4 linked regions of the Canis lupus familiaris genome follow. The protein of the gene in region 1 interacts with the protein of each later gene in a pairwise test. Links are inferred from orthologs where the notes say so. Each region holds a gene or a part of one and is shown on either strand. Other genes may lie near its edges.

The links.
Region 2: the proteins of SATB1 (region 1) and PIAS3 interact in a two-hybrid assay, tested with the Homo sapiens proteins (2 studies listed by BioGRID and IntAct). The link is inferred for Canis lupus familiaris from reciprocal best matches to the Homo sapiens genes SATB1 and PIAS3.
Region 3: the proteins of SATB1 (region 1) and PIAS4 interact in a two-hybrid assay, tested with the Homo sapiens proteins (2 studies listed by BioGRID and IntAct). The link is inferred for Canis lupus familiaris from reciprocal best matches to the Homo sapiens genes SATB1 and PIAS4.
Region 4: the proteins of SATB1 (region 1) and TOPORS interact in a two-hybrid assay, tested with the Homo sapiens proteins (2 studies listed by BioGRID and IntAct). The link is inferred for Canis lupus familiaris from reciprocal best matches to the Homo sapiens genes SATB1 and TOPORS.

The regions. Positions count from the first base shown.
Region 1 is NC_049244.1:25,104,176-25,112,039, reverse strand, and holds the start of SATB1 (DNA-binding protein SATB1), read right to left. Parts: upstream 4,221-7,864; 5' UTR 4,062-4,220; intron 3,781-4,061; exon of another isoform or gene 2,653-3,780; intron 1-2,652. UniProt on the Homo sapiens protein: Crucial silencing factor contributing to the initiation of X inactivation mediated by Xist RNA that occurs during embryogenesis and in lymphoma.
Region 2 is NC_049238.1:59,312,750-59,320,659, forward strand, and holds the start of PIAS3 (E3 SUMO-protein ligase PIAS3), read right to left. Parts: upstream 5,176-7,910; 5' UTR 5,098-5,175; coding exon 5,074-5,097; intron 4,529-5,073; exon of another isoform or gene 3,893-4,528; intron 3,180-3,892; coding exon 2,762-3,179; intron 2,614-2,761; coding exon 2,529-2,613; intron 2,290-2,528; coding exon 2,239-2,289; intron 1,989-2,238; coding exon 1,898-1,988; intron 1,383-1,897; coding exon 1,248-1,382; intron 1,017-1,247; coding exon 911-1,016; intron 326-910; coding exon 252-325; intron 119-251; coding exon 1-118. UniProt on the Homo sapiens protein: Functions as an E3-type small ubiquitin-like modifier (SUMO) ligase, stabilizing the interaction between UBE2I and the substrate, and as a SUMO-tethering factor.
Region 3 is NC_049241.1:55,928,140-55,935,408, forward strand, and holds part of PIAS4 (E3 SUMO-protein ligase PIAS4), read right to left. Parts: intron 5,674-7,269; coding exon 5,589-5,673; intron 4,761-5,588; coding exon 4,719-4,760; intron 4,396-4,718; coding exon 4,305-4,395; intron 4,219-4,304; coding exon 4,090-4,218; intron 3,985-4,089; coding exon 3,879-3,984; intron 2,069-3,878; coding exon 1,995-2,068; intron 1,908-1,994; coding exon 1,747-1,907; intron 1-1,746.
Region 4 is NC_049232.1:50,038,612-50,045,880, reverse strand, and holds part of TOPORS (E3 ubiquitin-protein ligase Topors), read left to right. Parts: intron 1-3,772; coding exon 3,773-6,706; 3' UTR 6,707-7,269. UniProt on the Homo sapiens protein: Functions as an E3 ubiquitin-protein ligase and as an E3 SUMO1-protein ligase. Probable tumor suppressor involved in cell growth, cell proliferation and apoptosis that regulates p53/TP53 stability through ubiquitin-dependent degradation.

The sequences.
Region 1 (7,864 bases):
ACAGATTACTGAAGCCTGATGCTCATCATGCTGAAACATAACTTTCATTTTACCAGAAAATACACCCTACCGTGGATGATTCTTCGTGCCTGATCTATTAATTAACTTAACTCTGTTCTGTCAAAAGGTAAACCAATTTGTTAAATTCACCCCAGAGTTTTGGAGTTTGAAAACCAAATCAATTTGAAAAGCAAAGAGTTATGACTATCCTGTAATCTGATCACAAATGCTAAAAATGAATACTAAATATAATAAGCATAAACCATACAAAACTAAAGCAAAGCACATATTTAAATATAGACTTTAATAATCCGAGTTACCAAATTTGCTCAAAAATCTTCCTCCTTTGCCAATTAAAAACAACTGGCACCTTTAATATTTCACAACCTTGTGCTCCTTAGGTCCGTTCAGTATGTATGCTTACTCTGCTGTCTGAAATATCTAAAAGTAAACCATTCATAAAAATAAAATCACACTCTTTAATTCTAATAGAAATATTACTGAACTCTCCTGAAAAAGGTGGCAAGTTTGAAGATCAAATGATGATACCCTTCCTCACAGCATTCATGTAAAACGTGGGTTTCTTCCCATTTTCTATATACCACAAAGCTATGACGGTATATAGTGCAACTAATTTTTTCCTTATACACAAGTATTAAGCAAAATCTTTCACGGCATTATTTAAAGTGGGAACTCATCTAAAAAAGGACAGAAGGCAACTTGGGGAGATTTCTATTTAAAACATGGGCAAATTCTGCTAGTAAACAATGGGCTGTAAAGGAAGAAGAAGGGCTTAAAAAATAATATTTTTGCATTCGATAACAACCTGCCTAGACATGGTCTGAAGATTGATTCAGTCATATGCATTTATTTTATATACTTCATCAATCCCAAGTACTAATGTAAGAGTCATTCAAGACAACACGTCTTGGAAGAAATGATTTGTTTGTGTAAAGGGCATATCAATGTATGGCCCTCTTGGAAATTTACAGAGCAGATGAAAAACCACTAGAGTGCTTTATAGAGTCCCTGCTGTATATCCATGTTGTGTTTAGCTTAATAGTGTTTGTAACCAAAAGATTTTTACAATAATGAGGAACAGGTGCCTGTCACCTGACCTTTTAGGCCTAATTTGCAATCCACAACCTGTCACATGAAAAAATAATTGAAAATCTCCTTCAGATATTTCAGTCTTTGCTAATTTAATGTAGCCTTTCTTAACCATCACTCAGCATACCATAGCTCATTCAGTCACAGGTTCCTATAGCTGGCAACAGACTTCTCTGCAGAAATAAACCAATACTCACTCGTTTTGTTGTTGTTCTTGTTTAAGATGCTGGGAGACAAAAGAACTACTTTTGTAGATTATCAACCAAAGAATATATTAATTTATTACAACAACTAAACAAAAGGCATTCCTTGTGAATACTTTTACATACAAAGAACTATTATTTATTACATATTTCAGCTTGTGGGAAAATGAGGAATGCATTGATTCTGGAAATAACTATTCAGACTTTTGAAAGTTCTTTAGGTCTTCTTTCTCTATCCCTTTTTTTCCCTTTCTCTCCCTCTTGCTCTCCCCACCCCCACCCCCACACAGATTTTTAAGGCACTAGTTAGTACTTTAGGAGGGAAATCCTTATCTGTTCTTATTTCACCCATCATTTGTACTCATTATTCAGAAAGGAATACAAAATTGAACAGTGATTGTTTCTCTTGTATAATCTTGTTACATGTAGCCATACTTAAATTTAACAATGCTTTGTATTTTATGGCTACTGTTTACATATTATGTATTACATATGACTGAACAGCTCTACATTTAAAATATTGTTTCCATTAGAAAAACTATGAAGTAATAAGTGTCAAATGGAGATGAAAAATAAACATGCCTGTTACATTTATAAAATGCAGAGTCACTTAAAATGTGCACAAATAGGATACGTATTTTGCTACTGTTACGTTTTACATAGTATACACTAGGTCTAAAGTGTATTTAACAATGTGCCTAACCAAGTTAATTAAAGTACTTATGTCTGGTGACTGTGTTAAACACTTGGAGAGGTAGTGAAAGATACAGCCAGTTACTTCTGCTAACTAAAGTTGAAATTATGCACTTATTATAACCTTTTCTAACAATGTGAGAAAAACAGAGTAAATATATTAAATTTGTTTCACAACAGATGCTTAGGTTGTTAATATTTAAGATGCCTATTCATGCTATTCCTGTCTGCACATTTGTCAAAAATGTAAGCTTGAATGCTAATGTTTGCCAGCAGACTGGAGCAGCCAGTATATGAATGTACTACTGTTCCACTAAAATAATATGCAATAGAAATAAAGGACTGCTGCTAAATCATAGCATTAGTACCCCACAGCCGATTAAAGGTTTTTAGAGCAAACACCTCAAACCTTGGCTTTTTCCAGCCTTAAAGTACGGTTGTTGTTGTTGTTGTTGTTTGCTTTTGCAGCTACGTTTTACTATAGAATAAATCTTACATTCCTGACACCTCAGAAAAATCCACTTTAGATAGGGTGTAAATTTCAATAAAGTTTCAATCGCACGCGTTACTCCCTTAGTAAGTCGATTTTAGGGACTGCTGAGGACAAAACCTGACACCTACCAGTCGCCTTTCACTTGTTTCTTACCCCTCCTCTGTTCCTCTTGGAAAAGTCAGGTCTCCTGGCCTCCAAGGATGCAAGCAGGGAACCCCAGCCAGTCCGGGTAGAACGGTTCTCTCCTGAGAATAGGACGTCTTTTTTTTTTTTTTTTTTTTTAATTTTCCCTGTCTCTGATACAACCACGTAGAGTCCAAGTCTTACAACAATTGCCTGGAAATCTGGAATGCCGCGGAGAAAGTTCGCCGAGGAAGGGCGCAGAGGTCAAAGCTGCCAACCAGGGCACTTTTACGAGGCGATCCTGTGGTTGACACTAGTACGTGAGACTTGCAACGCCCCAGAGGAGGTCGGGGCCAAGATCTCCAGCAAAAGCCCTGAGATCCTCTCCTCCTTCTGGGGGGTCATCCCAAGAGTCACGCCCGGTGCATGTCCCCGGTGGGCGCGTGTGGCTCCCCGCACCTGCCACCTGCCACCTGCCTGCTTCGTCCCCCTTACGGTGGTTGCCCAAACCCACGCGCCGCCGCCCCGGGAGCCTCCGCAGGGAAGCGCCCGGAGAAGGCCGCCACGCTCGGGTCGGGACCGCAGGAGGGAGACACGGTGCGGACCCTGAGGCCGCACCTGCGATGTGTCAGCCCCGCTCAGAGGGCAGCGCCTCTTCCTGCCTTCCAGCCCTCCTTCAAACCTGCAGTCGCTCCGGGAGCCCCTGCGGGCCCACCTCACTACCTCCGGCGGGGACTCCAAGGCGGAGTGCCGCGGCTTTCAAAATCCCGGCTCCAACTTGAGCGCCCGGCGCCGAGCGTCCCCGGGATGGAGAAGTTGCCACCAACTTCCTAGGCCCCTCTCGGCCGCCGCTCCCAGGCAGCCGCGCGGGCGGGGGGCGGAGGAGGAAGGAGAAGGACCGGGGAAGGATGCTGAGCTCACTTGCGATCGGCGGGGACCGTCCCCGCTCCCCCAGCCTACTCTGCCGGGCACCTCTCTGCCAACCCAGCTCCGGGGCGCACGGAGAGGCTTCCTCTCCCTTTTCCCGTCGGCCTCCTTCGCTCTTTGCGGCTCCCCCTTTTCTCTCCGAAGAGCGGTCATACGGAGGACCTGAGGGAGTTTGTCCAGCCTGGGTCTGTCGGGCAGGTGTGTCAGGGTGCCCACACCCTGAGAGGGAATGAATGGCATCTCCGAGCCCCCCGTCCCGGGTGCTCTCCCACGCTCTCCCCGCCCGCCCCTCCGGGGTCCGGCCGCGCACGCGAGAAGGGAAGGGGCTCGGGGGACCCCGGCCGCCAGACGTCGGCGGGAGGGCACCGCGCAGCCCGGCAAGGGGCGCCGGGGGTGGGCGCCACCGAGAAGTTTGGATCGATTCCGAAAACAGAGAGACAGAGATTCGAGAGCAAGAATACGGGGCGCGGGGGGGGGGGGGGTGGAAAGGGAGGCAAAGGAGCAGCACTCACTCAGGCATGGGCGCTGGGGGCGGCGGTGGCTGTCGAGTGCGGGCCCGCGACCCGGAGCAGCTCCCCGGGCGGGCGCGCCGGCGTCGGACTTCCGAGGCGGCGGCTTCTGCCTCCTGTGCCGCCGCCGCCGGAGCTGCGGCTGCCGCGGAAGTTAATTGCAACTTGACTTCAAGTTGTCTTCTTTCCCCATCCGAAGTGGGCGTTTAAAGGGGAGAGCGAGACGAGGAGCGAGCTGGCGAGCGCGCGGGGCCGAGGGAAGGAAGGGGGAGGGAGGGGATGTTAACGGGGGGGGGGGGGGGGGGGGGGGGGGGGGGGGGGGGGGGGGGAAGGGGCCGGCGGGAGCTGCTCTCGGCTCGGCGGCCGCCGCGCCCGCAGTCTGGAGGCGCACCGGAGCGGCCGGGGCGCCCCCCGCGGGAGCCCGCAGCCCCCCGGGGCGCGCATCCAGCCGCGGCTGCTCCGGCCCCGCGCGCCGCGCCCCGGGGCTCGGCGGACCCCGCGCCGCCGCCGCTCCCGAGCTGGTGCGAGCGGGCTGGCCGGCGGGGCGGCGAGGGCCCGGCCCGCCTCCCCAGCGCCCGCCCCGGCTTCTCCCCCTGGCGGCGGAGGAGCCTCGGCGGCCGCCGGCTGCACGGAGCGCTGGAGCCCGAGCCGAGCCGAGCCCGAGCCCGAGCCGCCGCCGCCGCCGCCGCCGCCGCCGCCGCCGCCAACGCCGCGCTCGGCTCCCAGGCTCCCTCCCCGCGCGCCGGCCGGGGTGTGGGGGGCGGCGGGCCGGAGGGACGAGGGCGGGCGAGAGGCGCGCGCCGGGATTGGCGCCGAAGACCGGACCCTCAGCCGCTGGGGGTAAGTGTGGGCGCCCGGGAGTGCGCGGAGGGGTGCGCGGCGCGGTTCTCGACGCCCGCCGACCCTGCCCCCTCACCTCTCCCGGGCCCCCACCACGCGCACCCCTCCTCTTGCCGCCTGCGGCTTCCTCTTGTTGTTCGTTGTTTGGCTGAGCTTTTTTTTGGGGGGGGGGGGGAGAAGCGGGCGATTGCAGTGTGTGTGCCAGGGGAGGAGGAAGTCAGGTGAGCGGGCCCTACGCACCCCCCACCCCCAAACCCAGCCCGCGTGGGGTGTATCGCTCCCCACTAGGGGCATGTGGGCCAGTTTTTTTTTTTTTCTCTCGTTCATGTTCGGTGGAGACGATCTCTCCTTCGGGGGCCTCCTCCCCTCTCAGTCTGCACGGTCCATCGCCCTCCACCCTGGCCCCGCCCCTCTCTGCACCCCATCCAGGAGTGCTGCACCCCAACTGAGGAGCACGTGGTGGAAGGAGAAGGCGGGGTTGCTCTTGCAGACCCCAACCCCGCGCCCCTGCCCGGTTGTTTAAGCAGTAGCCTTCTGTCGGCCGCTTCTTTAAAATCCGCAGGGAAAAGACCCCTAAACTGAGGTCCAGTTTCTCCAAGAAGCTGGAAGCAAAGGAGGAGGCAAGTGATGAGACTGTAGTGACAGGGGGGCTCGCGGAGAAGAGGGGCAAGGGAGCCTTTCCAGAAGGTGAATGAAACTTCAAAAACCTCTACAACGGCAGAGTGACTTGGAGGTTCAGGACCCCAGGCTGAGGAGAAAAGGAGAACTCCATCAACTTTGCCCCTCTCATCCAGCCATCCTCCACCCCCCCCACCCCCACCCCCACCCCCACCCCCACCCCCCACCACCCCCACCCAGCTCCTAGGAAGCAAACAGGTCTTTTGTTTTGTGTTCTGTCGTCTTTGGGAAATTTGCATTGAGTATGACAACAGAAAATTACTACTGTTTACTCGAAGTTAAGGGGATTACAGAAAGGAAACATAGTCTACTTTTTTTTTCCCCCCTTCGGTGTGTGTGTAGTTGTTAGGTTCATAGCTTGAACTGCAAAACGTCAGTTTGTAACAATAAGGACTGTAGAGCCTCCTCGGTGTATTTTTAGAAGCTGCACTTTCTTGAGTTCCTTTCACACAAGGCTTGCTCTCTCATTAAGTCCCCATACATAATTGTATTTAGAGAGAAGGAAACTATGGAAGCAGGAGGGAGATTGCTAAGATCTCCATCCCGCCAGCGCAGAGCACTGTTTGCAGTGAAGTTCCTGGAAAGTGACTGTGGGCTGAGAATTCAGTTTTTCCTAAAAGCTCTGTTAGGTCCTCTTCTGTCAGATGTCTATGAATAAAGCACGCTGGGAAAATCCTCCTATTCGTGCAGTCTTATTTTATCTTTTACACAGTGGTTGATTCTACTTTCAAGTCCTGGTAACAGCACATCAACTGTGCTGTATTTTTGTGTGGTTTTTCTAAATAAAGGAGGATAGCGCTTGTATTCATGCTGCTTTCTGATATGCCACTTCTTTCCTATCAGCGGTATTGGATTCCCTGGATTGTCCATCTTTTTCAGTTGTCATTTTATGCAGAGACCATAATTCCAAAGATATAAGAATATAAAAAGTTTATGAATTAGTGTTATTTTAGAGAACTAGCCCCTGGTTTCTAAGGTGGAAGTGCCCACCTCAACTCCTGGTTCTGTAAAGCAAAACAATAAGGTATAAATGCCATGGGCAAAACAAAATACAAGTTTTCCTTCCTGGACCACTTTCTGCATCCATAGGACCCAAGAGACACAAAATCTCCTGCCTTAATTTACCAAAATGCTGAATTGCCTAACCAGTACCAATATCTCCATCTGGGAATGACATCAGGTTTGGAATGGAAAGAATAAATTCTCAGTCTTTAATTACTGCTTATTAGCAATTTCTTATAGCAGGCAGCTGATTCTCCAATTCTGAAAGGCTGAAATGAAGCTTAACAGAAATTGAAATTAAAAAAAAAAAAAAAAAAAAAAAAAAAAGAGGAGGGATTGTTCTTTTCTCCCTTACACACTCTTACACACTCATTTATTCCCCAGAGTTACCAAGTAAGTCCCCTGAATCGAAAGTGTGATATGCTCCCCTGCGTTAAACCAAGGGAACATTTTGCCCCAACCTTTTGAATTTGCTTTTTTTCCCCTAAATAGTCTTGAACAGAGAGCTCACAGGCTCTATTATAATACAGAATTATGTAATGATGCGTACAGTGCATTAAGTAACATAACTTGATAAACTCTTTTGTAAACCCTGCCTCCTGGCACATAGTAGGAATACATTAAATACTTACTGAATTAAGATGTTAATGAAATATTGTAATTGGCCACAAATTCAATAGTACTAGGGTAAGCCTTTTTTTTTTTTTTTTTTCCAGAAGAAAAAGATATTTTGCCTGAAAGTTATTAGGGTAATATATTTCTGCTTCTAGATTTTTTTTTTAACAAGTGCAAATCTGATTTAAATGGTTGAAAGACAAGTAAATCGGAGACATAGCAAATGGTCAATAATAGTAACTAGTGTCAAAAGCTGATTATTTTCCCAGGAGGATAAACCACAAATATTGCCTACTAAATAGTGTGAGAAAGATGCCAAGGAGGGATAAAACAGTATTGGCCTTCAAGGAATTTGTTTGGTGGCAAGATGACATCAAAATGTGAAAAGACAACTTAATGGATCAGTAAATGGATGGAATCAAAAGAATATGTGAGAAAATACTTTTTTTTCTCTTGTAGACCAGAGGAAATAGACACCCTGATGGATGTCTGGTTGGAATGTATTTTTGAACTTAATTTGTCCAGTCAAACCTTCAGGGGGTATCAAGGCAAGCATAGGGAGTGAGGGGGAACTCACCACTTACCTACATAAAGGCATTTTATCTACAGAATAGTTACCACAGGGTAAATAAAGCTTGATTGCATACCGCGTGTATAAATAAAGAGAATCC
Region 2 (7,910 bases), on another chromosome or scaffold:
CAGGACATGTCCATGTTGGCTTCTTTTCATTCATTTGTAGATAAAGGGCAGCATCGAAGCTCTGCAGGTGGGCGCAGGTGAGGGCACGACAAGGGACTGTCAGGCGCATCTTCCCTAGCTGAGAAGAGACAAATTCTCTGCTCAGAGTCCCTATATTCCCGGAAGTCTCACTCTGGTAGCCCTAGGAACCCTCAACTGGGTCCAGAGTTAAACCCAACCTCCCTCCCCCTTCTCATCTCCCTTGTACCTACCGGGCACATGAGTGACACCCGGAGACTTGTAGTGGCCACCTCACTGTCTGGGTCAGCGGTCAATTTCTCCTTGACTGAAACAAGAATGAGACCAGAGCCATGGGGTCAGCAGAGCTGGAGATGAAGCCTAGGAGGTGGTGAGGCCAGCAGCAGATGGCTCTGGCTGAGAAGCAGCTGGGTAGAGTGCCTTTGGGGGCCAATGGGATGTCATATGGGGGTGGTCTTTGAGGCCAGTAGGATATCACATGAAGACTGGGTGTGAAGGAGAGATTTCTCCATCCCTGAAGATGCTTAAATAAAGCTGGGTGACACTTTGGCAGAGATGACTTAGAGGGAACTGAGGCATAAGAGAGTTACATTACATGATCCTTAAGACTCTTCCAGTCTAAAGAAGCCATATCCCAGCAGGGCTGGAGACAGGGTCTGTGAGGTGCAAAGCAGATGTATAACTGAGAATGCAAGGATATCACTCAGTGCCTGGGAGTCCGCTAACTTCTCAACCATGAAGATTAGTAAGGGGATAGGGGGAGGATTGGGGTTCAGGTGAGACGTGAGGGATACTTGTCACAAGAGGGGAATGGGTTTGGTTTTAAAAGCTGGAGGACCAGGAAGACTTGGATCCAAATCAGAGCGGGAAAGAGGGGCAGGATGTTACTTACTCAGTGCCCGAGAGTGGTCTGGGTTCCGGATACCCTTTGCTCTCAGTTTTTGTAGAAGGGTCCCTGCAGTCAACTGCCTCACCAGGTACACAGACAAGGAATAGTTCTACTTGGAGGTAGGGGGAGACAGTTAGCCTCTGCTCTGCTCCTCGCAGCCACCACCACCACCACCACCACCACCACCACCACCCCAATCCTTTGTCCCATGAGGATCAGAGACAACGGGTTAAGGCAGAAAGACCCATAAAGAGGAAGATGTTTTCCCAACCCAGGACACTGGACGATGCCCCTCACCCCCTGCAGGCTTCTCCAGGCTCCCTGCCCCAGCCCTGCTCACCCGTCCAAACTCAGATGACCAGTTGACCACGATGGTGTTGGGAACAGTGGCTGAGAGTCGAGCCAGAGGTGTGATGTTGATGGGGCGGCTAGGCCTTTTGGGCTCAGCCCCATTCTTGGTAGGAGGAAGGTAACCCTAGGGAAGGGAGGGGCTGGTCAAGACATCTTGTCTCAGGTTACTCACTTCCTGGAAGGAAGACCAGCTCACTCACTGACCAGGGACATGGGGACCCATTCAGTGACTCACAAAACTGAAGCACTATCTAGGGTTGTGTGTGGGGTTCATTCCTGGGGAGAAAGGAGAGCTTATTTATTGACCAGGGAAATAGAAACCCACTCACTGAGCTCCTGAGGAGGAAGAATAGGGTTGCCCCACTACTTCTAACTTTCAGCTCTGAGGTCATCACTTCAGAGAAATCTTCCCTGAACCTTTGGGTTGAACTGATGTGCTTCCTCTGGGTTCTGACAGAACCCTTGTGCATCAACCCTATCTTAGTATCCTCTAGATTGTATCCATCACTCAATACGCTGAGTACCTACTATGTACCAGGCACTGTGCTACACACATCTCTTCATTAATACGTTTGTATTTAACATTTAAGAACTGAAAGAGGGAAGGGGTTACTGCCAGAAGAAGGGAAGAGCATTTACCGGCAGGGGGCACAGTTTCCCATTGACCTTGACAAAGAGGTTGGGGGGAAAATAATCCTCCTGGGGGCAGCTGGTCTCACAGAGACAGAATCTGGTAAGAGAAGAAAAGATGAAAGGGTGGGGGAGGTAGTCTCTTGAGTTGAAGCTGACAGAAAGGCAGGGAACCTCAGTCAGCCAGTCACAGATCTCTGTATCTGTAGCCCTCAGCACCCACAAGAGTCCCAGGGTCAGGGTGGACGTAGCACAGCAGGGCTATCTCCTAGCAGTGTCCGACATACCCTTATTTCATTCCCACCCCCAGTGGAAGCCCAGCAGGGAAGGAGGCGGGAGGATCAACTCACCTGAGCTGCACCTGGATAGTATAGTCACATTTAGCTCCTGGAAGAACCTCTCTATGACAGGGAGGAGAGGGAAACATGTCAGGATGTGGCCCCCAGAGGGCCAGGCTGAATAGACAGAGAAACAGTTACGTGTCCCAGAGATAGAGAAGAGATGCACAAGAGAATGAGAGATGACACAGGTGCAGAAGGATGGACAGGCAGGAGACGAGGACAGACGAGAAGAAAGGCAGAGAGCAGAGTCCCGGGATAACCACCCCAGGTCAGAGGTAGGAGGGTGGGAAGAGAGGTACCTGGATGTGAGAATCTGCTGCACTTGCTGGGGTGTGAGGGCAAACGTAAAGTGTGCCTCTTCAAACCGCTGGCTAGAAGTGGACGCTGAGGATACAAAGGAGCAGTTACTCCTGAGCCCATGACAGGCAGCCACAGACGCTACCCCCATCCCAGGCCACTGATCCCACAGGACTAAAGCCCAAGGCTTGGGCAAGAGGTAAGATTCAGGAAGATGGAGGAGGCAGAGCCATACCGAGGGTGGTGGGCCGGATGAGCTCCCCATAGACTTCATAGAAGGGCAATGGTTTCATGGTAACATCAGGGTGCACAGGCTGGGGCAGAGGAGGGTGCATGTCCACCTCACGCTTGGGGCCCAGCAGCGTGCCAGGGGCCAAGAGGGCAGGGGGAATGGGAGTAAGAGGGCCAGGGGAGCCGACAGGAGGGGGGCCAGGGGGCAGAGAGAGGAGGGAGAGATCAGAGGGGCCCAGGGTCTTCCGGGGAAAGCGTCGGCGATAAAGCTCCTTGATCTTCATCTGGACGCTGGGGGCACAGCTGGACTTGAGCAGGTGCAGGGCCTTGGCCAGGAGTTCGTGCTTTCGTCCACTCTTGTTCCGGCCAGCAAAGCCCAGCAGAACCTGAAGCTCAGACACCCGGAAGCTCATCACCATGTGCTGCAGAGAACAGAGACATTTGAGAATACTGCCAAAGAGGCAGTGCCTCCCCCGCCCCCCTCCCCAAGAGAAATATGCTTTGCAGCCAGTGATTACAGCCGGACAGCCAATCTGGCCAAAGGGACATCTCAGTCCCATTCAGCAGCCCTCAGGTCAACCTTACCACTGCCCCCCCCCCAGAGCCTGAGTAACCCTATCTCCCCGTGCCTGTAAGCTGGCCAGGTGGGGCAGGGTGCAGGCAGCAAGCCATCCACAGGCACACCTCCGAGTCCACTGTGGCCTCCTACTTCCAACCCTGCCTTGAGCCTAGACGCTCCTTTAAGCAGCTTATCTCCTCTCCTGCCCTTTCTCAGACTCTCAGACCCAACCCAGCCTCCTGGAAAGAGGGTAGGAGACAGGGAGAAGGAGGGGGAGAAGAGGAATCAGGCCAGACAGCCCCACAGGGAAGAAAGGGGGCAGGTGGCCAGAGGATTGTGCACCATGGCACACCCCTCCCAACACTTCAAGCCACCTCAGCTATTTTCCCCAAGCCTCTGAAGCGTCTGTGGCCAGGGTTTTCAGGTCAGGGTTCAATGCTTGTAACTTCCCCCCAAATCCTTTGTAAGCATCAACACCTTTCCCTCAGTCCTATTCTTCTAGGAGATAAGCGACCAAAACTTGGGGCAAAGGGGTTCATAGTAAATCACCCAGTCCAGGGTTACTTTCTTGTTTACCTGTTTACTCCATCTGCCAGGAACTAATATCCTGTTTCTCTCCTACATAGAGAAAATAAGTAATCCCCCCCCCCCCCATAGCCGTGGGAGAGGAGAGGGCTAAGCTGTAAGCAGGGGCCCTGGGGAGATGAGAAGGCTGGGGCGCCTTCCCAGCCTGGGGGCAGACCTGCAAGTTCTCCTGGGGCAGCTGGACCCAGGGACTAGCCCGCCAAAGACTACGGCTCCATTTCAAAAGGCAGAACAAAGCCAGGAGGCAGGGGGATGAACCCAGTGGTTTTTTTAAGGTTCTGTGAGATGTCCTCCGATAGGGGTACCCTCAAGCCTGTGTGGCAGTAGGCGGGCACCACACGCTCGCTCTCTCGCAAAAGGACACCCTCCGTGACTCCCCGGGAGCCCTGTCACGGGCGGGCTCTGCCAGCCGTCCACGAGTCGCCCCCTCCCAGGAGCCTCCCTGGCTTCGGGCCCCTTTTGAGGAATGCGGTGAAAAACTGGCCCATCTACCTTTCTCCCACCCTCATTTCCTCTGTCCGGTTTTCAGTTCTCCGTTAGCTTTGTCAAGAACGTCCCCTTTCCATCCCACAGCCTCACACTCCTGTACCTAAGCCCAAAGACCGATCCACCAGGGCAGCGGCTTCCTCGCCGCCCTCGAACCCGCAGCCCGCGCGGCCCCGCCCCCGGGATCTCCGCCGCCCGCGGTGCTCCCGAGGCTCGGAAGCCCGCGGCAGCCCCAGAGCTGCCATCCCCTCGGCGGCACCGCGCGGGCGCCTCCGCACCTCTGCCCGCGTCCCAGCCCCGCATCTGCCCCCTACTGTCGCGTCTCGCGGCCTCGGTGACTCGCCCCCCGCGCCCCCGCGGCAGCTGGGACCTCGGCCTTCCTCGGGCACCCGCCCCGACCACCGAGTCCGACCCGTACCCCCGCGTCCCCGCCCCCTGCGCCTCGGCCCCCGACAGCGGCAATTCCCCTCGGCCCCACCCCTGCATCTGCCCCGCGGCCCCGCCCCCGAGCCCGTGGCAGCCCGGTCCGCTCCCGCCGCCGCTCGGCTCCCGCTCGGGCAGCCGGTCTCCGCCACGTCTCCGCGCCCCCCGCCCCCGCCGAGCCCTCGGCACCCGGGCTCGGTCGCCTCCCAGACTCGGCGTTCCGCGGGCGCAGTCCACACGGGGCTGGGGGAGGGGGCCGGTACCTTTAACTCGCCCAGCTCCGCCATCTTGAGACATCGCCGGCGCCCGAGCCCGAGCCCGAGCCCAGGCCCAGGGACCGGCGCGCAACTCCCCACCCCGGCGCCCGCCGCAAAGGCCGCCTGCTCCGCCCCGCCCGGCCCCTGCGCCTCCCCTCCCGGCCCCGCCCGCCCGGCTCCGGACAGGCCCCGGCCTCGGCCCCTCCCTCCGCCCGACCCAGCCCCTGCGCGGCTCCGGCTGGGGTGCCAGAGCGGAGGGTCCCCGGGGGTGAGGAAGGGGAGGCGGGCCCGCAGCGCCCGAGGGAGGGCTCTGCCACGCCGGGACTGGGAGGGGGTGAGCTTTTAGAGAGCCAGAGACACTTGAAATACGGGGGGAAAGTAGCGAGAACTGCTCAATCTTAGAGAAATGGGGGAGGGGTGGCGAAGTTGGAGCAGACACCGTCATCTCCTCCTCGACGAGTTTAACCAGCTCAAGTCAAGAGTTCTACCAACTCGGGGAACGGGTGAGATCTGACCCGCTTCGGAGAAGCTGTGCAGTGGTGACGGTCAGGACGGCTGCTCTCGATTCCTCGCCCCCCACCCCCACCCCCACCCCCACCCCCACCCCCCTCCCGGCCAACCAACTACAGTGCTGCCTGGGGTCCCGCGGCAGGACTCAAACTCCGCAGCAAAAAAGTTTGGTGCGACGAGCGGGACTTACCAGCACAGCTGCGGGGAGCGGGGAGGGGGCTCGGGAGGCTCGGAGGGTGGGCCGGGGAGGTGGGGGGGCTGCAAGGCTGGAGGTCGGTCGGTCCGGCAGCTGGACGCTGCAGCGGCAGCTCCGCCCGGACGCGAGCTCCGCCCGGCCCGGCGCTGGGGCTGGGGCCGCCCCCTCCGGGTGAGCCCGCCAGGACCGCGGAGGCGGGGGCGGGGGCGGGGGCGGGGTCGGAAGCGGGGAGGGGAGGGGCTCCGAGACCCGCGCCCGGAGCTTAACTCCTTGAAAGGGTGCGTGAGCCAACGGGTGGGAAGGGAGGACGTTCTGGGGACTCAACCTGCTCACTGTTGCTCCGGCCCCTTGCGCTGCTCTGCCCGCCCGGCGCGATCATGCTGCGAGGAAGGCCGGGCCGACTGGGATTTGGCCGCCTGAAGAGGTTCCTACTTGGAACGAGACTCCTCTCCCTGGGGGAAAGCCTGGGCTGCTAGAATCTAAAGTGGACCTAAGCCCCAAGTCTCCCTGTGGTCCCTCACCCCCTACCCCAAATACTCAGACCGTCGCCGGAGACCCCACGCCTTTGGTGGGGCTGAAGGTGAACAGAGGGGAGGTTTTCTTCCCAAAACAGTCGTCTTTCTGCCCGTCTATGAATTGCCTACTTTTCTTCCAAAGCCTTTGCCCTTCCAGAGACCCCATTCTCTTTAAAATAGGGATCCCTGGGTGGCGCAGCGGCTTGGCGCCTGCCTTTGGCCCGGGGCGCAATCCTGGAGACCCAGGATCGAATCCCACGTCGGGATCCCGGTGCATGGAGCCTGCTTCTCTCTCTGCCTCTCTCTCTCTCTCTCTCTCTCTCTCTCTCTCTATATCATAAATAAAAGATAATAATAAAATATATATATTTACTTATTCATGAAAGACAGACACAGAGGGAAAAGCAGGCTTCCTGCCGGGAGCCTTATGCGAGACTAGACTCGATTCCCGGGGTCGCAGGATCATGACCTGAACTGAAGACAGATGTTCAACCACTGAGCCACCCAGGCATCCCCAGAGAGGCCATTCTCAACCAGGCTGATCACTCACATGCAGGTACCAATTCAAGCACCAAAATTAGGGCAGTTTACCCAAACTACATACTGGAAAAACTCAGCATTTTAGGTTAGTTGGCTGGGACCTAAGCCATTATGTCATTTGTTCAACAAACATTTGAATGCTGTTCAGAGATTGTTAGGTGCTGAGGAGATAAAAAGCTTTTCAGGAGCTCTTGGTCTAGCAGTGGCAGCAAGACAGTTAAACCTATAATTGGCATTAAAATAATAATAAATAACATGAATAACCCTCTCATATAGCTTAAACCTTCAGTATAATCCTTCCCATGAGACCCTACCCAAGCCACAAGAATGAAGGTACCAGCCTAGCAACCTCCTCAGATACCTGTTGAATTGGACCATGACCAACTACTTTGTGGATTTTGTCCATAGGGAAGATGTGTACCCTCTCCTGACACTCAGGTTCTTTCCCTGTTGCTATACTCCCTACTCCCAGGTAAGACCAAGCTAAACTCAAGCTCAAGTATTTGATTCTAAGTCTTAGCTGCCAGAGTGTCTAGGTGGCATAGTTGGTTAAGTCTCTGCCTTTGGTTCAGGTCAGGGTCCTGGGATCAAGCCCTGCAGTAGGCTCACTGCTCAGCAGGGCGTGTGCTTCTGCTGCTCCCCCTACTTGTTCTCTCTGTCAAATAAACAAAATCTAAAAAAAAAAAAAAAAAAATACCAACTGCCCCTTCCAACACTTGAGTTTTCATCAGGCCCAGAGCTTGTTTTTTGTTGTTGTTGTTGTTGTTGTTGTTGTTGTTGTGTTCAGTCCTCTAGGTCAAAAGTTACTATGAATTAGTTTGTATATCTCATAGAAATTTCAGTGATTTGGAGAGAAGGACGATTGAGAGGATAAAAAAAGAGAAGGGGGGATTCTTTGGGAGTGATAGATAAGTTCATTATCTTTTTATTAAAAAAAGATTTCATTTACTTATTTGAGAGAGAGAGAGCACGAGAAGGGAGCAGAGGCAGAGAGAGAGAGGGAGAAGCAGGCTCCCGGCTAAGCAGGGAGTCCATGTGGGGCTCAATCTCAGGACCCCAGGATCTTGGCTTGAGCTGAAGGA
Region 3 (7,269 bases), on another chromosome or scaffold:
CATTCCTGGCCCTGCCACTTCCCGGCCACGGAGCCTCCATCTCCCCGCCCACGAGGCGTATGCAGCGCCCACCACATGTAGCAGCTGGGGGCCCACGCCAGGTACAGGGCACGCGCGTGCCCCAGCAGCGCTGCACCACACCACCCCCGGCACTTGTTTCACGTCAAAGCTGCATCTGCCTCCAAGAGACTCCAAGCACCTCGGGTGCAGTTGCACAGAAGGGAGGCCCTTTCCTGCTCCAGGACACCCTGGGGCCCTCCCTCATCACACTCACAGACCAGCCACCGCAGGGCCACTCTGCTGTCTATGGCAGGCCCCACGGACACCTCCCACGGAAAGGCCCTGTCCACAGCGCCTCCCCCTCCTCCAAGCCCAAGTGAGAGCAGTAGGTCTTTCTGGTGAAGTTCCCCATGCCCTCCTGCCCCACCCCAGGCCCAGCCGGGAGTGCTCTGAAGGCACTCTGGGACAGTCCTCATGGGCGCCCCCAGAATCACCCAGCTCCAGTACAAGGGTGGGACAAAATAGCCAATCCTCCAGGAAAATGCACGAATCAAGGACCCTGCCTCCAGGAAGCCTCCCTGGCTATGCCCAGGCCCTGGGGATGCTGGGACTGTGGTCTGGGTGAGGCACAGCCACACCTCCAAACCCCAGGCCCATCTGCCCCTGGAGCTGTCGGAGCTGCCGCCACTTGAGCCTGGGTGACCCGCTCTAGGCCTGTGAGGGTGGGGGGAGAGGCAGGCACGGGGCCGCACAGCTGCCAGACCAGGAACAGAGCAGCCATTCAGCCCTGGCCCTTGTGCCCGGCCCCAGGGGCCTCCTCACTCCACCCCAAGGCTAGACGGCGTGGGGGCACTGGGGCGCGGCAGCTCAGCCCTGCAAGGGAGGGGACCCGGGCTCCGAGCTGGCCTGGTCACCTATAAGCTGGGCACGCCGGGGCAGGTGATGGCCCCTCTGAGCCTCAGTCTCCTCATCTGTAAGGTGGGAACGATCAAGGCCCACCTCCCGTCATAGTGGGCGGGGATGGCTTGACGACAGCCAGGAGTGGTGACCCGATGGAGACAAGCACCAGAACTTGGGGACGGATTCATGCCAAACCCCTAGAGGCCACAGGCATACCCCCCGCAACACGCGTCTGGGCCCTCACGGACTGCCAGGTGCAGCGTGTGGCCACAGACCCAGCCTGGCCACGGCCTCTCTCCCTCCCCACCCCCCCAGCTCTGGGGACAGGACATGGGTGTGGTTGGCGCCTGGCAGGAGCTGCTCGGTCAGGTGCTGGGCTCAGTTTCTGGAACCTAAGACCTGAGCAGTTTCCCTTTTGGGGAGAATGGCCTATTTCCTCTTGTCCCCCCTCCACTCCGTGGCACTGTGGGGGGGACCTGGTGGTTAGGTCACGGGGACAGCCTGGCTGCACACTGGCGCCACCTGGGAAAACATCACAGGGGGTATAACGGAGACCAGGCTAACTGTTGTGTGGGAAGCAGCTCTTTGGCTTGTGCAGTGGCCGTGAGGCTGAGGCTTCCCAGGGCTGCTGCTCAGCGCGGGGGGAAAGCAGGCTCCAGATCTAGGGGGTCACAAGCACCATGGGCTTTCTGGGCCCAGGGCGCCTAAGCTAACAGCCTCCACCTTTGTAGCCAAGGCCCCGAAGAGCCCCCTGCTGCTCCCTGCCCCAAGGAGGGCTCCCCAAGCAGAGGGCTCCCCAGAAAGTCAGGTGCCCCAGGGGGCACACAGGGCCACCCAGAGCCTCACCCGTCGATGATGAGCTGGTCGTAGGGGGCTGGTTTGTCGCACACGGGGCACATCCAGGTGGGCTTCTTCTCGTTCATCTGGAGGTAGAAGACGGCATCGAAGCACTGCAGGTGGGCGCAGGTCTCCGCCCGGCAGGGCACTGACAGCCGCATCTTCACCAGCTGCGGGGAGGGGGTGGCGTCAGCGGCCCCCCGGCCCCGCACTGCTCACCCTGGAAGGCCCCACACCGCGGGCATACCCCGACTCACTGGGCAGATGAGGGAGACCCGCACGCCGGTGGTGGCGATCTCGCTGTCGGGGTCCAGACGCAGCTTCTCTTTGACTGCAGAGAAGGGGATGGCTGTCGTTAGTACAAGGGACAGAGACGTCTGTGGGGTCGGAGCCAAGAGGCAAATTTTTCTAGCACCTGCTGACGCCAGGGTAAGACGGTGCACACATGGAGCAGCCCAACATCCACCTCCCAGGAGGCTGGGATGCACATCTCGGGGCCAGAGCCAGGGCTGCGAGGGTCACCTGTGGAAGCGTCCTGGCAGCGGCTGGTTATTCCGGACAACCTGGCATGCCGACGAGGCAGGCCGTCCCAACAAGCCCACCCTGCTACACATTTCCACAGCCCCAGGCCTCTCTTGGGAAAAAGATGGGAGCCCACGGGGCCGTCCACCACAACTGTGTATCCCACACAAACGATCCCTGATTCAGCAAGAAGGGAGACGGGCCGCTTCGGAACGGTCCTGACGGCTCCGCACCACATGTGGGGCGAGGACGACCAAGGCTCCTGTCCTGAACACCCCAAACCCTGCAGGGCACGAGCGAGCCCCCAAGCACAGCTTCTTGCGTGACCAAGTCCACCCAACTAAGTAAAAGCTGACCGGCGCCTGAAGCCAGAGGCCTCATGGAAAATGCTGGCAACAACATGCAAGGCCCCCTTCTCAACTGTGAACACAGACTAGAGGAAAAACTAGAAGAAAACGCATGCAGAGCAAAACCTGGGGTGGACCCGCAAGGAGTTGCGGGGTCTCCCTCCCTCTGGACCCTTTCAGGCTCGTTCTGTCTGCGTTTGTTCTGCTCTCCGTGGGAATGGGAAACCGGCCGACAGACGCCCAGAGGACAGACTGACCGCAGACCTGCCCCTCCTTCCTCCATGCAGCCCCTCCTCCTCCCCCCACAGGGTTGGCACATCCCCACCCCACTCCCCAGCTGTCCCGAAGGCCACATCAGCCCTTCACACCTCCATGTGAGTTCCCACCTCGGGACTCGCCTCTCTGGTGAAATGCCAATGATGACACAGGCACATCAGTTTTTGAAGCAAGGCCCCCTCCCCGTGACACAGAAGGCTGGGGCTACCGGTGAGACAACTACAGGACTTCCCGCGGCAACTAGAAACCCAGTGGCCTGGCCTGAGGCTGGCTTCAGAGAGGAAACCGGACCATCGGAGTCAAGCAGGGGCCCCACATCCCATACACACTGCCCCCAACAGCACTGCGGCCCCTGCCCCTCCCAGAGTTCCACGCCCCACCTTGTGGGCCGAGGTTGAATCCTGCCTGCCCCCAGGCTAACACCTGACCCTCTGGTCAAGTCCGGCATTGTACCCACAGGGAGACGGACAGGTGGGGGGCGCTTATGAAGAAAGAGCTCTTTGAGGGAAGTGGGAGGTGCTGGGGTGGGGTACACAGGCGGGAGCCCTGCCACTTTGCGCCAAGTGTCCCCAGAGGTCAGATGGAGACCCTGCCAGGTCCCTCGGCCCAGGACTGTGAGATCTGGTCAGAAGGAGCATCACCGGAGAGGGCCAGTGACTCGCCCGAGGCCACACAGCCACCATGGACACAGACACGAGAGGAGAAACTGATCTGGTTTTGTCTGCCCGTCCTTGGTGGTTCACGTTCAGCCCTCGCTGTCCCCCCGGCCCCCTTAACACAGCCAGTCTGGTCTCCATCACCGCCCCGTACCTGCAGCAGTGAATCGGGTCTGCCCTGGCCGCCTGTGCCCCAGGCCCCCGCCTCTCAGCACCCCGGCTCACTGGGCTGGGGGACCCGCCTCTCACGGCCCTGCCTCAGGGCCTCCTCGCAGGCTCTTCTGCTGCCCAGCCCCCCTCCTCCCACACCCCCTGGGGTGACACAGGCCCACAAGCTCACCAAGCGCCTTGCACAGCTCTGGATGCTTGACCCCGATGGTTTTCAACCTCTGCAGCAGCTCTGAAGAGGTCAGCTGCCGCACCAAGTACAAGGCCACGGAGTAACTCTGGGGGCAGAGGTGGGGGAGGGGTGGTCAGGCCCAGGCAGGGCTTGTGGGAGGGCGGCAGTGGTGGTGGGGGGGACAGGCGGGCAGCACCCCCACCCCACTCACCTTGCCGTAGTTCCCCCAGGTCACGGTGATGCGGTTGGTGGCCGAGGACAGGTACATGAGGTGGGTGAGGTTGATGGGGCGGCAGGGCCTCTTGGGCTCCACTCCAGGCTTATTGGAGGGGTAGTAGCCCTGGAAGCAGACATGGGGGCTCAGGCCTCAGAAAAATGTTCCCTTGTAGGCTCTCTGCCCCATCCCGCACAGGAGGTCCCACTCACCGGGACTGAGCAGTAGCTGTGGTTGACCTTCACGGCGATGTTGGGTGGGTACTGGTCCTCCTGAGGGCCGCTGGTGTCTGAGTAGCAAATTCTGCAACAACAATGTGGACCGTGAGGCCAGCAGGGGCTCTGGACAGAGGGGCGGCCCTGAGAGGCAGATGGGTGCGGGGCCAGGGTGGAAGAGCCCATCTGGCAGGCGGATCACAGTTCTGGATGGCACAAGGGGCTCTCCGGGCTCCGGATCTGGTCTGAGCGAGCCTGTCCTGTCCACAAGCAAGGACAGAAGGCAGGAAGAGAAGAGGAGGAGGGAGGAGCCCAAGAGAAGCTGCCAGGAGGGAGAGGGGCCTGACAGGGGTGCACCCGGGGAGGACACGGGGCTACGGCCAGCAGTGGTCCAGGCCCGCCTGGGCTTACCTGAGGACGACCTGCACGGCCTTGATCCCGGGCTGCAGTTCTCTGTGTGTGCCGAGGAATCAGAGGGGAGGAGAAGAGGGGTCAGTGAGGCAGGAGAGCACTCGGCCCACCAGGCTGCTCCCTTCACCTGCTACCTTCCCTGGCAGCCGAAGGTCAATGGCTGTTGACTACAACATTCCCTCCTGTTTACTCACTGGTGAATTGGGCAAATGACCTCCTCTCTTTGTACATATGGGGGGATGTCCATGGGATATATTAAGTCAGTTGGTGGACTCAGGCCTGGCATGTGCCAAGTGGGCCAACAAATGGCTGCTCCAGTGGTGATTCCGGTCTCAGCTGGAGATCGAAGGGCCTCAGACAGCAGGACTGACAATGGCCTCTGTCCCTCAACTGTTATGGCTCAGTGTCCTCATCAGGGCGATCCTGCCCCTGCTGGACCCCAGGCAGTGCCTGGGGACAGGTGTGGTTCTCACAACAAAGGGGACTCCTACCGTCCAGTGGGGGGCGGGGTAGGGGTAGGGGGCCGGGATGCTGCTCAGCCCCTCAGGGTGCCTGGGGCACCCCACTCCAAAGAGTGACCCAGCTCCAAAACCAACAGTGCGAAGGGGAGCCCCACTGAAGGGGAGGGTACACCAGCCCACCTCTGGGGGCTGCAGGTCAAAAATGGTATGAGCACGCAGACTGAGCACAAAGCCCGGGACATATGGCAAGTGCTGAGCACAGAGGGCAGGGCTTCTGCTTCCCTCCTGCGGAGCACAGGGTCTACAGCAGGTCTACTGAAGGCTCCCTAGCCCAGCCCTCTAGATGGCCCGAGACCATGCAGTCTACTGCCTGCCATGGAGGCCAGCAGGGGTGCAGGGAGCAGCGCACCTGGAATTCCGGATCAGCTCCACTTGCCTTGGCGTCAACGCAAAGATACATGGGCTCTCTTGAAGCTTCTCATTATTCTGTGGAACTAAAGATAAACGCAGAGTCAGGGTTGCCCCTGGTCCCCGGTACAGAAGCCAGCCACATCCACTTCCATGGGCCAGTCCCTCCTTAGACTGGGAAGCTGGGAACAGGAGGTTGAGCCTCACTCAGGCAGCTGGGCCTGTGGGATGGAAGCAAGACCTCTAAGGAAGAAGTGCCTCCGATTCAGGGAACACCCCCAACCCTGGAACGGCCCTGGGAAGCAGCAGCCTTCATGGCTCTCTGGGGTTCAGGTCTCTAAGGAAGACAGAGAAGCCCTGGGCTCAGGGAAAGGAGCCTGCTGGCTCGGCAGGACACAGTGGGACAGCCTGCATGCCCTTGGGCCAGCTGCTTCACCCGGAGCCTGTAAGATGCCAGCAACAACTCTAGCCGCACCTTGTATGGCTGTTCCAGGCACCCGCGGGACAGAGGTCCTGCCTCGGTCATCCATGGCCAATAGTGGCAGAGATAGGAGTGAAACAGTGAATCTCCCAAGTGCACAAAACAAGAGTCACGGAACAGCCCAGCTCACAGTGGGAGGCATGAGGGCAGCAGGGAACACCATACAGAGCCACACCAGCCATCCCAAAGCACCCACTGGGTGCAGAAGTAGAGGAACATCTGCCAGCAGATGGAGACCATGTGGTGACAAGCTGACTCTCCACTCTTAGTTATAACTGCATCGAGAACCCCTGGGGTGATCAGAAAGTCTCTGAACTGAATGAGAGTATACAGTGCTCCAAAACTTGGGGGAAGCAGCTAACACAGTCATTAGAGGCAAAATCATAGCTTTAAACGCTTCTGTTAAAAAACACAGGAAAAGGTTTTGAATGAGTAACTTGCATTTCTTCCACAAAAAACTAAAAAAAGAAGAGCAAACTAAGAATGAAGTCATTAACAGGAAAGAAACTAAAGATAAAAATAGAAAGCAACAGAGAAAATCAAGCCAGAGTTCTTTGATAAACTAGCTAGAATGAGCAATAAAAAAAGATCGTAAACATACATACTGTCAGAAACGAAAAGGTAGACAGTAGTACAGATCCCATGGTCTTTTGGTTTAATATTGGAATGTAACAATTTTATGGCAATCAATTTGAAAACTCAGATGAAATGGACAGACTCTTCCAAAGATCCAAATGACCAAAACTAGCAACAAAAGATAAAGGAAGTTTGAGAAGCCCTTTACCAGTTAAAGAAACCGAACTCAAAATTAAATACTTTTCTGGGCAGCCCAGGTGGCTCAGCGGTTTAGCGCCACCTTCAGCCCAGGGCCTGATCCTGGAGACCCAGCCTGCTTCTCCCTCTGCCTGTCTCTCTCCCTCTCTCTCTGTGTCTCTCATGAATAAATAAAATCTTTAAAAAATAATAATAATAAATAAAAACTTTTCTGCCAAGAAAATCACAGATCCAACTGGTGAGTTCTATTAAGTTTTTATGAAACCATATAAACATTTATGAACTTTCAAAAAATAAAGAATTGCTAACTCACTTTACAAGGCTGACATGACCCTGATTCTAGAACCTGACAAAACAATATCAAGAAAGGAAAATTATAAACATTTCTCATGAACACTGTCATAAAAATTCTTTAGAAAATATCAGC
Region 4 (7,269 bases), on another chromosome or scaffold:
CTAATGAAAAGTTTCCGTTCTTATTGTAGCATGTATCTGTTTCATCTTTTTTATTGCTCGATAATATTCCACTGTATGGGTATACCACATTTTATTTTTCTTTTCATAAGTTGGTAGGGTTGTTTCCACTTTTGAGCTTTTATGATAAATGTTGCTATGAATATTCACATGTAAGTTTTGGTATGGACAGTATGTTTTCTTGGATGGGTATTTAATTCCAGGGTCATATGGTAATTCTATTTCATTTGTATCCCAGCAAATATTTTAGCAAAAATTTTTTTAAAGTAATTTCTACACCCAGTGAGGGGCTTGAACTCATGACCCTGAGATCAAGAGTTACATGCTCTACTGGCTGAGCCAGCCAGATGCCCCATTAATAAATGTGTTAATTTCAGCATTAGTGATGCTTTTGAAGGAAAATCTCTTATTTGATGATGTATATGCATTGCCACTGTTTGATGTTTCTGATGAATACTGTTTTTTATATCTAAAGATATTACTATGAGAAATACAACTCTATTTTTTTATATCTTATGGATGTTCCTGATCATTCTTTTGCCCTGTACTATACTGTTGAAGTGGTTAACAGGCTTATTATAAAACTAGGGAAGGGAAGAAAAGTTGTGTTTTTGTTTTTAAGATTTTATTTATTGGAGAGCGAGTGCATGCACAAGCAGGGCCAGAAGGAGAGGGAGAAGCAGACTCCCCGCTGAGCAGGCAGCCCCATGGGGGGCTGGGGCTCAGTCCCAAGATTCTGGGAACGTGTCCTGGGCCAAAGGCAGATGCTTAACTGGCTGAGCCACCTAAGATCCCTTCCCTTAAGATTCCATTAAAAAAAAAAAAAAAAAATTCTACTTAGTTGAGATTTTGTTTTATTTTAAGTTTACTACCTACAAATTTCCTTTAATAAAATGCATTCAGGGTTGTATTTTTTATGTGAACTGCAAATGTTCAGTAAACACTACAGTTTTGTATTTCCATGACACAAATCAAGGTACAATGTATTAACTTTAAATTCACCAGTCTTTTAAAAAAGTCTAATAATCTCTTTATTATATAGAAGGGCAAACTAAAAAATCTAGATTTTATTGAATGTTTCCAGTTTATAGTTTTAGGGGAAACGTGGTCAGTCCAGATTCTCTGATAACCTATCCAGTTTCTCTCCACTCTTCATTCCTTCCCCTAATGTACAGACTCTGTCTGTGATCCTAAAAATTTTTATTTTTAGGCTTTTTATTTCCTGGGAGGAAGAATAAAAATGTTAGAAGTAGGAGAAAATGCCGAGAAATTTAAATATTATTAAGGTTTAGATATATTAATGACAGTTATTATTGTATATAGTTAAATACATTAATGAAAGCAGTTTATTATAATTACATGCTGTTTAAGAGCAGTGGTGATTTCTGTATTTCTAGTCTAGAAAATAAAAGACTAGAAATATTTGGATCCCTGAAGAAACATTTGTTCAGTATTAATTGATTTCCTATTAAGTTATGTCTCTGAGAAAGTTAAGATGCCCTTAGATGAGCAAGTTTAATTTGAAATTTCTGATGAAATAGTTACATTTCACAATCATGAATTTTGTTGTGGGTTTGTTTTTGTTAGAATTTGGTATGGCCAGTTTTTTGGTTTTTTTTTTTTTTTAGATTTTATTTATTTATTCATGAGAGACACAGAGAGAGAGAGAGAGAGAGAGAGAGGCAGAGACACAGGCTGAGGGAGAAGCAGGCTCCATGCAGGGAGCCTGATGTGGGACTCGATCCCGGGACTCCAGGATCACACCTTGGGCTGAAGGCAGGTGCTAAACCGCTGAGCCACCTAGGGATCCATTCCCTGGCCAGTGTTTAGAAAGTTATAATTCCATTAGACTAAATTGATAGCAGTTGACCATTGATGGAACTTTCTATGATAGAGGAGGTAGAGAAAGATGAATAGGCCCAGGAAACCTAAAGAAAAAAATTTTTTTTTTTTTTTTAAAGATTTGATTTATTTTATTCATGAGAGACACAGAGAGAGGCAGGGACCAGGTACAGTGAGAAGCAAGCTCCATGAAGGGAGCCTGATGTGGGACTCGATCCTGGGATGCCAGGATGACGCCCTGGGCCAAAGGCAGACTCTCAACCTCTGAGCCACCCAGTCGTCCCGAAAGAAACATTTTTAATATATACTCAATGATTAATATAGAGTGCAGCTAAAGAGTGATTTATAAGATAACCAGGCCAAAAATGTGATGCATACCAAATTTCAGCTCTGGCAAATTTGCAAGTTAATGGGTTGAGGCACCTAGGTAGCTCAGTTGGTTAAACATCCATCTGCTTTTGGCTCAGGTCATGATCCCAGCATTCTGGGATCAAGCCCCCTGTCAGGCTCTCTGCTTGGTAGGGGATCGGGGAGCCTGCTTCTCCCTCTCCATCTGCTGTTCCCCCTGCTTGTGCTTCCGTGTGCGCTGTTTCAGACAAATAAATCTTAAAAAAAAAAAGGGGGGGGTCAACATAAACTGATACATTTAAAGAAAACAAAACTAATTAAGATTCTAGTGATCCTTGTGGGGAAAAAATAACAAGGGAAGGGCACTGGAAGCATGATTTCTTTTTTTTTTTTTTTTTAATTTTTATTTATTTATGATAGTCACACAGGGAGAGAGAGAGGCAGAGACATAGGCAGAGGGAGAAGCAGACTCCATGCACCGGGAGCCTGACGTGGGATTCGATCCTGGGTCTCCAGGATCACGCCCTGGGCCAAAGGCAGGCGCCAAACCGCTGCGCCACCCAGGGATCCCTGGAAGCATGATTTCAAGAAACATTGTGGCTGCCTTTGGATTAAATAAAAAAGCTCAAAGACTTAGTAATGTAAGGAATCAGTGAGGAATTGAATATAGTAGTGTAACCATAGTATAATAATACTAACAGCAACTAATATTTACACAGCAGTTGCTAGGAGCCAGGAACTATTCTTTGGACACCTTTACATATATTATTTCATTTAGTCCTCACTAAAAGATACTCTCTCTGTGTGAAAGAATCTTCCACTAAAAACTACAGAATTGGTTTAAACAGGTAAACTTTTGGTATGCAAATTATCTCACCGTAGTTATGTTTAAAGGTATACATTCAATATTTTACATAAATAAAGCAAGTCAGTAGTCTATATTGCTCAGGGGATATGTATGCAAGAACTAAAACAATAGATAGAAATAACACCAGCTGAAGACTGTGGTGTTTTTGGTTTTTATTTTCTAGAGGGGGATAGGAGGAGAAGATAAGGGATATTTAAAAAATATTGAAATAGCCATGAAAAAAATGTTGCTAAATCTGAGTGGTGGATACATGGGTACTTGGCAGATTGTGTGTGTGTGTATAAGTATATAAATATATATACCTTTATATATTTATATGTATATAAAATTCTTTTTGGTTAAATTCTTTTTTAAAAGAACAGAATGCTGCATAATATTTGAGAGCTTCCTGGGTACCAGGCACCTTTTCTAAGGTCTTCATAAACCCTGTGATGCAGGTTCTATTATTGCTGATACATAGTCACACCACTGGTGTGAAACCAGGATTCAAACCCAGGAAATATGTGACTTTTAGAGCTTGTGTTTTAAGTACTATATGACTATGTTACACTCTCCCTTCATATTACAAGGTTAATGAGCTACTCAGCTATTTTCACCAAAGTATGTTTCACAATCATTTATTTGAATTTTTTTTTTTTTCAGATTTTAGTCTGTTCTTTTTTTCTGGTTACTGATGTATTTTTTTCCCTTTTACAGATAATGGCATCAGCTGCTAAGGAATTTAAAATGGACAACTTTTCACCTAAAGCTGGTACTAGCAAATTGCAACAGACAGTACCAGCTGATGCATCTCCTGATTCTAAGTGTCCTATATGTTTGGATAGATTTGATAATGTGTCTTACTTAGATCGCTGTTTACATAAGTTCTGTTTTCGCTGTGTACAGGAGTGGTCAAAAAACAAAGCTGAATGTCCACTATGTAAACAGCCCTTTGATTCTATTTTCCATTCTGTGAGGGCAGAAGATGACTTCAAGGAGTATGTCCTAAGGCCTTCATATAACGGTTCTTTTGCAACCCCTGATGTTCCACGATTTCGCTATCGTACAACTATGACAAGAGATCGAAGTGCTTCTGTTTATTCACCTAATAATACTATGAGTAGAAGAACAACAACTCCACCAGATAGTGGAGTACTATTTGAGGGGTTAGGCATTTCAACAAGACCTAGAAATGGTGAAATTCCTCAACTTATGAGACAGATTGCAGTAAGGAGGCCAACTACTGCAGATGAAAGATCTTTGCGGAAAATTCAAGAACAGGATATTATTAATTTTAGACGAACTCTTTATCGTGCTGGCGCCCGTGTTAGAAATATTGAAGATGGTGGTCGCTGCAGGGATATTTCAGCTGAATTTTTCCGTAGAAATCCAGCTTGCCTTCACAGATTAGTCCCCTGGCTAAAACGTGAACTTACAGTTCTTTTTGGAGCTCATGGATCTTTAGTGAATATTGTCCAGCACATCATCATGAGTAATGTTACTCGCTATGACTTGGAAAGTCGGGAATTTGTGTCTGACTTAAGACCATTTCTGCTTAATCGGACTGAGCATTTTATACATGAATTTATCAGTTTTGCTCGATCTCCTTTTAACATGGCAGCTTTTGACCAGCATGCTAATTATGATTGCCCTGCTCCTTCATATGAAGAAGGTAGCCATTCTGATTCTTCAGTCATAACAATATCTCCTGACGAAGCTGAGACTCAAGAGTTAGATATCAATGTAACCACTGTTAGTCAGGCACCGTGGGATGATGAAACTCCAGGGCCATCTTACTCAAGCTCAGAACAGGTACACGCTGCCATGTCTTCCCTTTTAAATACTTCTGATAGTTCAGATGAAGAACTTGTAACAGGAAGAGCCACATCTCAGATACAAGGAGTACAAACTAATGAAGACCTCAATAATGACAGTGATTCTTCTTCAGATAATTGTGTCATTGTTGGGTTTGTTAAACCACTAGCTGAGAGGACCCCAGAACTTGTTGAACTGTCCTCTGATTCTGAGGAGTTAGGCTCTTATGAGAAAATGGAGACTGTGAAGACACAAGAACAGTCTTATAGTTCTGGTGATAGTGATGTTAGTAGATGCTCATCTCCACACTCTGTCCTTGGAAAGGATGAGCAAATAAATAAAGGTCATTGTGGTTCTGGTAAAAGAATCAAGTCAAAGAAAGAAGAGAAGCACTCTACATCATTGTCATCTCCCAGAGACCTGAGCTCGTCTATCAGAGGAGACAGGGTATATTCCCCATATAACCGTAGACACAGGAGGAGGGGAAGATCAAGAAGTTCAGATTCTCGTTCCCAGAGTAGAAGTGGGCATGATCAGAAGAGTCGTAGAAAGCATCATGGGAAGAAAAGGATGAAAAGCAAAAGGTCTAGGAGCAGGGAGAGTAGCAGACCTAGAGGTAGAAGAGACAAGAAGAGATCAAGAACCAGAGACAGCAGTTGGTCAAGAAGAAGCCAGACTCTCTCTCTCAGTAGTGAAAGCACAAGCAGATCAAGATCTCGTAGCAGTGATCATGGTAAAAGAAGATCACGGAGCAGAAATAGAGATCGTTATTATTTAAGAAATAATTATGGAAGCAGGTATAAGTGGGAGTATACTTACTATAGTAGAAACAAGGACAGGGATGGCTATGAATCATCTTATAGGAGGAGGACTCTGTCCAGAGCTCATTATTCCAGACAATCTTCAAGTCCAGAATTTAGAATTCAGTCCTTTTCTGAAAGAACAAATGCTAGGAAAAAAAATAATCACAGTGAAAGGAAGTATTACTACTATGAAAGGCACAGATCAAGAAGCCTGTCCAGTAATAGATCAAAAACTGCATCTACAGGGCCTGACTGGGTAAGAAATGAAAAGCCCGGAGGGAAACGAAAATACAAAACACGGCATTTGGAGGGTACTAATGAAGTGGCTCAACCTTCTCGTGAGTTTGCTTCTAAAGTAAAGGAAAGTCATTACCAAAAGTCCTCATCAAAATTGGATGGCAACCACAAAAATGAGAGTGACAGCTTTTCAGACAGCCGATCATCAGACAGAGAGACAAAACACAAAAGGAGAAAAAGGAGGACCCGGAGCCTAAGTGTAGAGATAGTTTATGAAGGCAAAGCTACTGATACAACTAGGCATCATAAAAAGAAAAAGAAGAAGCACAAGAAGAAGCATAAGAAACATCATGGGGACAATGGTTCACGTTCGCCAGTTGTAATTACCATTGACAGTGATAGTGATAAGGATTCTGAAGTAAAGGAGGATACAGAATGTGACAATAGTGGTCCTCAGGACCCTCTACAAAATGAGTTTTTGCCTCCTCCCTTGGAACCATTTGAAGCTAAAGATGTAGTTACAATAGAAGATGAATTTGGCATCCTAGACAAGGAGTGTAATATTTCCACACTTAATGACAACTTGAATAATGCCAACAAAACTGTGGATGATATTCCACCCCAGGCAGCTTCGGTTGAACAAACTCTTGATGTAAGAGAAGAGAGTACTTTTGCCTCTGATTTGGAGAACCAGCCCAGTAATGTTGCTATTCACACTGAGCCATCAAGGCAGTTGCCGTCTCCACGGACATCGTTAATGTCAGTATCTCTTGGTAGAGACCACGATATGTCTTAAAACTGCCAAAGCATCTCATTGAGAATTCTGATGGTATAAAAAAAAAACAAAAAACAAAAAGAACAGTGTCATCTACTGCAGTCTATTTAAAGATGACTTTTGGTGAAAACTCTTAGCCCCTTAAAAATATTTTAAGTAATTTTTTTTTGTGTTAAAAATTTGTAAAAATCATTATTTGTTCAAAAAGTATGTATGTCCCACCCTCAGAGATATGCACTTTTAAGTGAGGAAAATGATATTGCTAGCAGTTTATTTAAAACTTGGGATCCTTTTTAAATAAAAAAAATATAAATTTTAGAAGTTATTTCATAAAGCCATATGGTATTGACATATTTTTAAAGTAGTCAATGAGTATTTTTGAATTTTTTTTTTTGAGAGTTATTCTGGAAATGTGTTATAAGCTAGGAGAATCCCTTTGGACAGTTTATTTTTCTTCTTAAAAATTTGTATGATTCAAAACCATTTCTTCAGGTTAAATTGAGGCATTTTAATCTGCACAGTTTGACACCTGCCAAAAGAAAAATTTAAATATTTCCTTTATATACTTGTTTATCTGGACTGCC